Linked DNA regions of Mus musculus. The protein of the gene in region 1 interacts with the protein of each later gene in a pairwise test. Links are inferred from orthologs where the notes say so. Each region holds a gene or a part of one and is shown on either strand. Other genes may lie near its edges.

Region 1 (4,446 bases):
TCTTAATCATCTGGGTTCCTAGTACATTCCCCACTCATGGCAAATATTAAATGCTTATGAACTCACCAAGCAGCACCCCTGGACCAGTTCACTGTGCCTGAACAACTGAAAAAGGAGCTAGCAGTCTTTTTAAATTTATAGACAGGGTTTCTCTATGTTGCCCTGGCTGTCCTGGAACTCGCTCTGTAGACCAGACTGGCCTCAAACTCGGAGATCCCCCTGTCTCTGCCCCTAAGTGCTAGGATCAAAGGAAGATGCCACTAATTTAATAAGACAAGAAAACAAATCAACCTGATTAACTCTAAAACCAAGGGCTGTGTCCAATGCCCTGATTGGCCCGGCCACATTTCTGCTCTGAGAGGGCAGCAGCTGTGCCAGCCCTGACCACTATGGTTGGAGAATGAATATGAAGTCATTTCAGACTGTTCAAGTATACAAGGGCTGAGCTCCCAGTTAGGCATACTCACAGGAATGTTGCCAGCAGTGGCACCAGCTCCAAATCTGGCACCTGCATCATACCCTCCTTCCACCAACACTGCTGAGCCAGGTGGATAGATGGGACCAACTGGATAATAAGCCATGGGGATTGTGGAGCCTAGAGGCCCAACAGCCACAGACTGGGCCATAGGCAGATACAATGAGGCGCCAGGAAATGCAGCTGACATGGTGGGGACTGTGGCAGCCCCTGGATGAACAAAGCTTGGACGATAGAGCTGAAAGAAGCAGAAGAGAAAGCAAAACATTATTTTTGTGACATTCCTATTTGGAATCTCTTTAAGTATTATTGAGACCATCTCCTGTAGCTCAGGCTAGCCTTCAAGTATGTAGGAGTGGATGACCTTGAACTCCTGACTCTCCTGCTTTACCTCTTGACTATGGAATTAGAAGCCTGTGCCACCAAACCCAGTTCACATTGTGCTAGGGACCAAATCTAGGGCTTGGTGCATGCTAAGCAAGCATTCTACCAAATCAGGTACATCCCCAGCCCCTTGTTTGGTTTTGGAAATGGGGTTTGGTTATACTGGCAGCCTTGAACTCAGCTTCCTCCTGACTCAGCCTCTCAATGCTGAGACTACTCGCCTGTACCACCACGCATGGCTCATGAGTCCATTCTTAGTTGTTTTTTTTTTTTTTTTTTTTTTTAAGATTTATTTATTATATGTAAGTACACTGTAGCTGTCTTCAGGCACACCAGAAGAGGGTGTCAGATCTCATTACCAGTGGTTGTGAGCCACCATGTGGTTGCTGGGATTTGAACTCAGGACCTCTGGAAAAGCAGTGCTCTTAACCATTGAGCCATCTCTCTAGCCCCTTGTTCCTAGTTCTTGTGTTTGCAGATTACACACTGGTTATAGTCACTGGCACACAGTATTCTGAGTCATTTGCGTCCACAGCTACTATTGTGCTCAAGGGACCCAAACTCAGCTTAAGTCAGCATGTGTCAAATAGCATAATCAGATACTGCATTCAATTCCAATGGTAATTTTCACCTTAAGTTCTAGATGATTCACAGAGCATCCTTCTGCTTGTGAAGTCAGATTTGAAGACTTAACAAGGGGATCCAAGAGTGTTCTCAACTAGCTACAAGTCTAGGAAACTGCAGTACCTCTGAATATGCAGGTGGAGCATCAGTATAGGGTGGAGCCTGAGGAAGATGTAAGGTCTGAGGATATACTGGATTCCCAGGAGGTTGCACAGGGTAGGTAGGCTGTGTTGGATATTGACCTGGAATACAAAAGGGGAGGAGAGATGTTGTCTGTCAGATTAGGAGGGGAGGTGGCAAACAGGAAAGATGCTCAGTGTGTGAGACAAAGTGCTGCTCTTCCTGAGGACCCCAGTTCTATTCCCAGCACCCACATATGACACAACCTCCTTTCAACGCTACCTTCTGCCTTGGTGGGCACCTACACTCACACTCACAGACACTTACACAGGCAGAGGCAGGCACACTTTGAATAAAAACAAGTTTGTAAGCAGAGCTACTAGACGGGCCAGGGTGCACAGGGTGGGGAGCAAGCAGAAGAGCTGCAAATAAGGCTGCCTTATTTCTTAGAGCCAGGAAAATAAGGATGGTCTCGGCACCCTCGCGCCCGAAGGTGCTGGCTTCTGACTGGGCAGAAGGCGCCGTTCCCACTAGCATACTGATTGATGGAGGCTAACTTGGCCATGTTCCCTTTCGAATAGAGGGCAGGTCTGAGGACCCGTTCCGGGGTCTCCGGACTGCTGGTGTCTTAGGGGACTCCTCTGGGTGATCTCCCCCGGGCTGTGCTGTAACCAGTCCTGACTCTGTGGGACCCACGGTTCTCAGTGTTTACCTCACGGGTTCCTAGTCAAGGTCGACCTCCAAAGAGTGAGTGACTGGAAGTTAACCGTGAGAAGGGCGGCGGGTGGAGGGGTGGGGAACGCGACCATGTTCTCACAAACATTAGCAACGCACAGGGGCGGCTACGAGTCCGGGCCCCGAGGAGGAAGCGCCAGAAGTCCCCGGCGGGCGAGAACGGGTCCTCGAGGGCCTGGGCCGTGCAGCGGAGCCGGCACCTCAGCAGTTAAGCTCGGCCGAGGCCTGTTGTTCCGAGGCGCGGCGCCCCGCCTCCGCCCGCCCTCCATTGGCTTCCCCAAATCCCTGCTCTAGCTCGCCATTCGCTCCAGCCGCTGTCCGTCACGGAAAAGCCCCCCCACCCCACACACAGGAGCCCGCGGCTCCAAACTGCGCCACACGGTTTATGGGGTCGGGGCCCAGAGGGCCGAGCGGCTGCGTTGTGGGGGTGGAGGGGGGCGGCCACGTCAGGTGCGGCCGCGCTGTGCGGCCCGCTGAAGAGAGCCGCACAGACCGCCCCAGGCCCGACGTCCCCCAGCCCGCTCGACCCGAACCCGCCCGCTTCCCCGACGGCCCCCGCCACTTCCCGGCCTTGCCTTTGCTGTTCATGGTGGCTCTGAGTCCGCTCCCACTCGGCGTCGCGGACGGTTATTTTTCTCGTCCTCTTCCTGTTCGGAGTCACTTCCGTGTCACGTGACGTTCGTCCACTCTGCGTCAGGAGATGCCCGAGTGCGCCGCCGCCGGAAACCCCGCCCCCTCGCAGGCCGGCCAGTCGCGGCAAGGAGGGCGCTCGCGGCCCTGCTCTGCTCGGAAGCCCCGCCCTCCCCGCGCGCTCTGCCCTCACGGCGCGCGCCTCCTCTGGGCTCGGCCCCGCCCCTCCCTGCGCGGCTTCGCCCTCACCGCGCGCTTTGCCCTCACTAATTGCCCCGCCCTCCCTGCGAGGCCCCGCCCTCCTCGCTCTCCCCGCGTTCCTTGCTCTCTCTGCGCGGCCCCGCCCTCACCGCGGTCCTTGCTCTCACCGTGCGCCCCGCCCTTATCACGAGCCACTCCTTCCCGCGCGGCCCCGCCCTCACCGCACCGCTAGCCCCGCCTCCCTGAACGCTCCGCCTTCACCGCGGGCTCCTCCTTTCTGCGCGGCCCCGCCCTCCCTGCGCGACCCCTCCCTCACCGCGCGCTCCTCCTTTCTGCGCGGCCCCGCCCTAAAGAAAGCGGAGTCAGCTCATCTCAGGGCGACTTCCTCACTGTGAGTCGCCTCTGCTCACCAAATTCAGGTGTGAACACAGGCTGTCACGACTCCACAGTGCCTGCGAGACGCAGCCCAGACCTCAGACCTTAGCCTGTCCGCCGTTCTGGTCCTTCCAGGCCTCTTGTTGAGGGCCCAGCGCCTGGCTTCGTGCTCGGAGATGGACCGTGTCCCCGCGCCCCGCCCCCTGTCCTGAGATAGACCGTGCCCCAGCACAAGCTGAGGGGACGCAGCCAGCACCTGCACCCTGGCCTGGCACGTCCTACGGGGACCTGAAAACTCCCTACAGATGTTGTGAGTGGTTTAGCCCGCGCTCAGTTGTCCAGAAGAGTAGCGACGACGTCTCTTAGGACAGTGATCACATTTTTTCCCGTTTCCTCGTTCCAGAATATCTGCTGAGCAACCGAACGCGCTCTCATAGATGCACAGAGGAACCGACCGCCGCAGCTGTCTGCAGAAGTTCGTGTTGTGCGTGGTCAAGTAGATGGGCAGGCTTTGGAGGGAGAGGTCCTTGGTGAACGGACTCCTGATTCGTCCGACACCGAAGGCCTTGCTTGTGTGTCAGGTGTCTATTTAACAGTTTGCGTGGCGTCCTGTAAATGCAGTTTCGTCCAGTCGGCAAGCACAGCAGCCTGAGAGGCTGATCTAGTTCAGCCTGGGGACCTGCGCATGAGTGTCATGGGTTCACGCCGACACACATATAAAAATAAACATTCGAGAAGAAAAGAAAAACTGATCTAAAGGACAGGTTACAGACTTGAGTTTTGTGTTCGGCCTCCCAGGTTCCGGGTCAGTATTTCCATTTTGGTTTCCTGTCAGCACACAGAGCATCCCCTAACTAGGCTGCGCTAACTAAAGGATGTTAGGGAACTCTCTTGGGTATTTT
Region 2 (3,500 bases), on another chromosome or scaffold:
AGAATTTCAATGAAGAGTTACCTGGATTGGTCAGCCTGTAGGCAAGCCTGTGAAATGTTTTCTTAGTTGGGTTATTTGAAATGGGAAGACCCACCACGTTTGTGTTACCCCTTCACAGGCTAAGCCTTGGAATGAATGAAAAGAACACAGATATTGTACCAGCATGTGTGAGTACTTCCTTCCTCTTTGCCCCTTGACTATGGAGGCAATGTGATTTTCTGACAACAATGGATTGTGATCTGGAATAGCTAACTAAATAAACTATTTTTCTTCTAAGTTGCTTTCTGTCATATCTTATCAGAGGAACAGAAGGAAATTAAAACAATATATGTAGTTATTTTCCATTTTTACCCGATTTTTAAGTTTTTATTACCTTTAAAGAAAAAACCATATCATGAGCAAGTGGGGGCGGGGGGTGAGTAATACACAGAAGGACAACTTTACTGAGAGGAAGACACCAGTAAAGGGCGAGAACTGCTTCTGCCAAATAAGTCTACATTCTCCAAAAGTTGTATGGTTTTATATTATTTTAAAACTCTACTCAGTCATAGTGGTGTACACCTTTAATCCTAGTATTGTGGAGGCTGAAGTAGTAGGACTGCCTTGCGTTAGAGTCAAGCCTCAAAAGCCTTCTATAGATCTAGTTGATCATGATTATATATCTTAATCATGTCCCCTCCCCCACCTTCTTACCCAACCACCTTTATATTCTCTCTCCTGCCCTTCTATCACAAACATACAAACAAGAAAAACATCAGTAAGTCAAAAAAAAAAAAAAAACAAATCAAAACAAACCAAAAACAAAAACAAAACAAAAACCCCAAAGCAAACAAAAGAACATAAAAAAGCCCCCTATCTCCCAATGCCCCATGGAGTTTATGTTGGTCAATTATTCTGAGGTATGGGGCCTGCCCAGAGGGTAGTAGAGGTACCTAATGACCCTCCACTGGAGAAAACTGATTTTCCATTACCAGTGGGTATCAACTGCAAATAGCTTCTTGGTTAGGAGTCCACTTGCCCCCTCAGTGTTGGGACTTCAACATGGTTGTTTTTTAAGGTTAAGAAAGGAGATGGGTATCCACATGTTCTTAGACTCCTTGAAACAAATTAACATTCATTTCACTCTCCTTCTGCATTTGATGGTGATAATATACACAACACTGCATCCTGCTGAAGAAAACCTGTATATTCTCTACTGTATAAATTCCTTTCACCAAAACCACGTGTACATAAAGCATCTCAACATGGTTTGACTCACAGGATTCTTTGTAACCATCCCCTGTGTGTGTGCGTGTGTGTGTTTGTGTGTGTGTGTGTGTGTGTGTGTGTGTGTTGTATGTCTATGGTTTTAAACACATTTGCTTATCATGGTACCCTGCATGATGCTGAGGTGGGAGACCGATCCACAGACCCCTTCTGACTCCACAGCAGGCCAGAGCCAAGCACTCACCTGTGAAGTGAAGTCATGCTGCTGCAGCTGCCTCCCTTCTCTCAGGTCCCAGGACCTCACAGTGTTGTCTAAACCGCCTGTCCAGAGCTTGGTGCCATCATTAGAAATGTCAATACAGCTGGCTCCGTCTGTGTGGCCCTGGAATTGCCTGATAAAACAAACCAGACTGAATAATGATTTCCTGCCAGAGCTCAAGGTAAACACTGTTGTGTTGTTGGTTTTGGACTCACTGTGTCATGTCAGTGTTTGTTGGTGTGCAGTATCAAAGTAACCTTCCCCTGAGGAGCACAGGAAACAGCCCCTGCAGGTTCTGTTTCCTTTTTCAAGATCCAAGGCCTAAAGAAATGGACTGGCTTGCAGGATGCTGCCAGAAGCCAGGTATCCTATGGCCTCTTGATAAACAGACCCAGTGAAACTCTTCCCTGGTCTGGAAAAGAATTTAAGTACTAAGAGACAATAAAGATAAACACACAAAACCCAATTTCCTTAAGGAAAGATAAAGACCAGTCCTTCAGTGGCCAAGGCTTGAACCCACAGAAAGTCAAAGGCTTATTCCAAGAACACATTCATTTAGAAGATAATCTTCCAGTAGGGCCCTTCCTGCTAGCACAGTGTGAACTCAGCCCTTCTGAATCATCAAGGGCCTTGCATGAGAAAATGTGGACTCCCAGAGACCAAGGGTCAAGCAGGCCTCTTGACCTCAGAGGAGTTAGGTAGAGACAAAGAAAAGTACTGAGGAGGACAGACACTTGCCAGCTCCCAGCCCCAGTACAAGGCTTTCTTTACACGGGACCTTCACACCATGTTCAAAGGGCATCCCTAATCAATTGGGTGGCAAGGATTTCTGACCCCTGGAAGGGCATGAGGCAACAAAGTCAGTTCAGTGGAGAGAACATGAGCACAGTGGGGTCTGGGGTTGGCAGATGGTGTGTGTGTGTGTGTGTGTGTGTGTGTGTGTGTGTGTGTGTGTGTGATGCAGTGACTCTCAGAAACTTGACTCTACATGCTGAGCAGATGTGTGTGTGTGTGTATGTGTGTGTGTGTGATGCAGTGACTCTCAGAAACTTGACTCTACATGCTGAGCACGCTTTCGCCAGGGCAGATCAGAGAGGTAAGGACCCACCTTCAGAACCAGGAAAGACCCAGAATAGAACTGTTTAGAAACGTCAATGTCAAGAAGGTCCCCCATCCCCTATTACCACAGAGCACCAAGCTTAGAATTTGAAAGTGAAAGGGAAAAAAAAAATTACCATCGCTGCCCTGAATTCTTAGCCAAGATATGAGCCAGAAACCTTTCCCTCCCAAGCACAACCCCTACATTAGTTCCTGTCCCTACCAGTCCCCTTCTCCCGCATGGCCAGAATTCCCTGCTGATGCCCAGCAAGTGGACCTCAAGAGTGCTACCTGGCCTCTCCATGATCACCTGGAATGAAGGAGTCTTTGTTGTACCTTTCTTCCTTTTGTCTATTCAAACAACTGTTACAACTTTTATCTTTCATCCTGACTTATCACCTCCTTCAACTCAAAGAGTTATTAGTTCTTTATTCCAAACATCTCTCCCTGTGAACAATCAGCACTCCTCCAGCCTCGCCCTCCATGCATGTCCTAGTGACTGTCAAGCTGTTGACTGTTGAGAATACGCTGTGTCCTAGAAGATACAGGACTCTCACAGAGCAGCCACTGGCCACACATGGCCAGTCCAGGCTAAAACACGGCCCCCCACCCCACCCCCACACACATACACACACACATGACTCCAGAGAGCCAGCACCAGCAGAATGGCAGGCCTGACTAAAGGACTAGAGACAAGGAACTTCTCTGCCTCGGCTCTCATCTATAAAGTAGAGAGGACAGAGGTACAGACAGCCTTATCTTAAAATCCGAATTTCTACCTCCCAAAAGTTGGCTACATTTGACTTAAGTGCTTACTCTTAGAAATAGTTTCTGGAATGACTCTAGTATGTGCATTAAATGGAAGCAGACTAGCTGCTGAGGGAAGAGCAAGGATCTAGAAGCCAATCAGAGGCCCATGTGCTTCCAAGTGGAATGA

The links. The genes of interacting proteins can lie anywhere in the genome.
Region 2: the proteins of Dazap2 (region 1) and Tle1 interact in binary tests that used the Homo sapiens proteins (3 or more experiments, as listed by UniProt). The link is inferred for Mus musculus from reciprocal best matches to the Homo sapiens genes DAZAP2 and TLE1.

Annotation. Positions count from the first base shown.
Region 1 is NC_000081.6:100,614,192-100,618,637, reverse strand, and holds the start of Dazap2 (DAZ-associated protein 2), read right to left. Parts: upstream 2,977-4,446; 5' UTR 2,927-2,976; coding exon 2,914-2,926; intron 2,589-2,913; exon of another isoform or gene 2,316-2,588; intron 1,726-2,315; coding exon 1,607-1,725; intron 714-1,606; coding exon 468-713; intron 1-467. UniProt on the Homo sapiens protein: In unstressed cells, promotes SIAH1-mediated polyubiquitination and degradation of the serine/threonine-protein kinase HIPK2, probably by acting as a loading factor that potentiates complex formation between HIPK2 and ubiquitin ligase SIAH1.
Region 2 is NC_000070.6:72,120,894-72,124,393, forward strand, and holds part of Tle1 (transducin-like enhancer protein 1), read right to left. Parts: intron 1,599-3,500; coding exon 1,451-1,598; intron 1-1,450. UniProt on the Homo sapiens protein: Transcriptional corepressor that binds to a number of transcription factors. Inhibits NF-kappa-B-regulated gene expression. Inhibits the transcriptional activation mediated by FOXA2, and by CTNNB1 and TCF family members in Wnt signaling.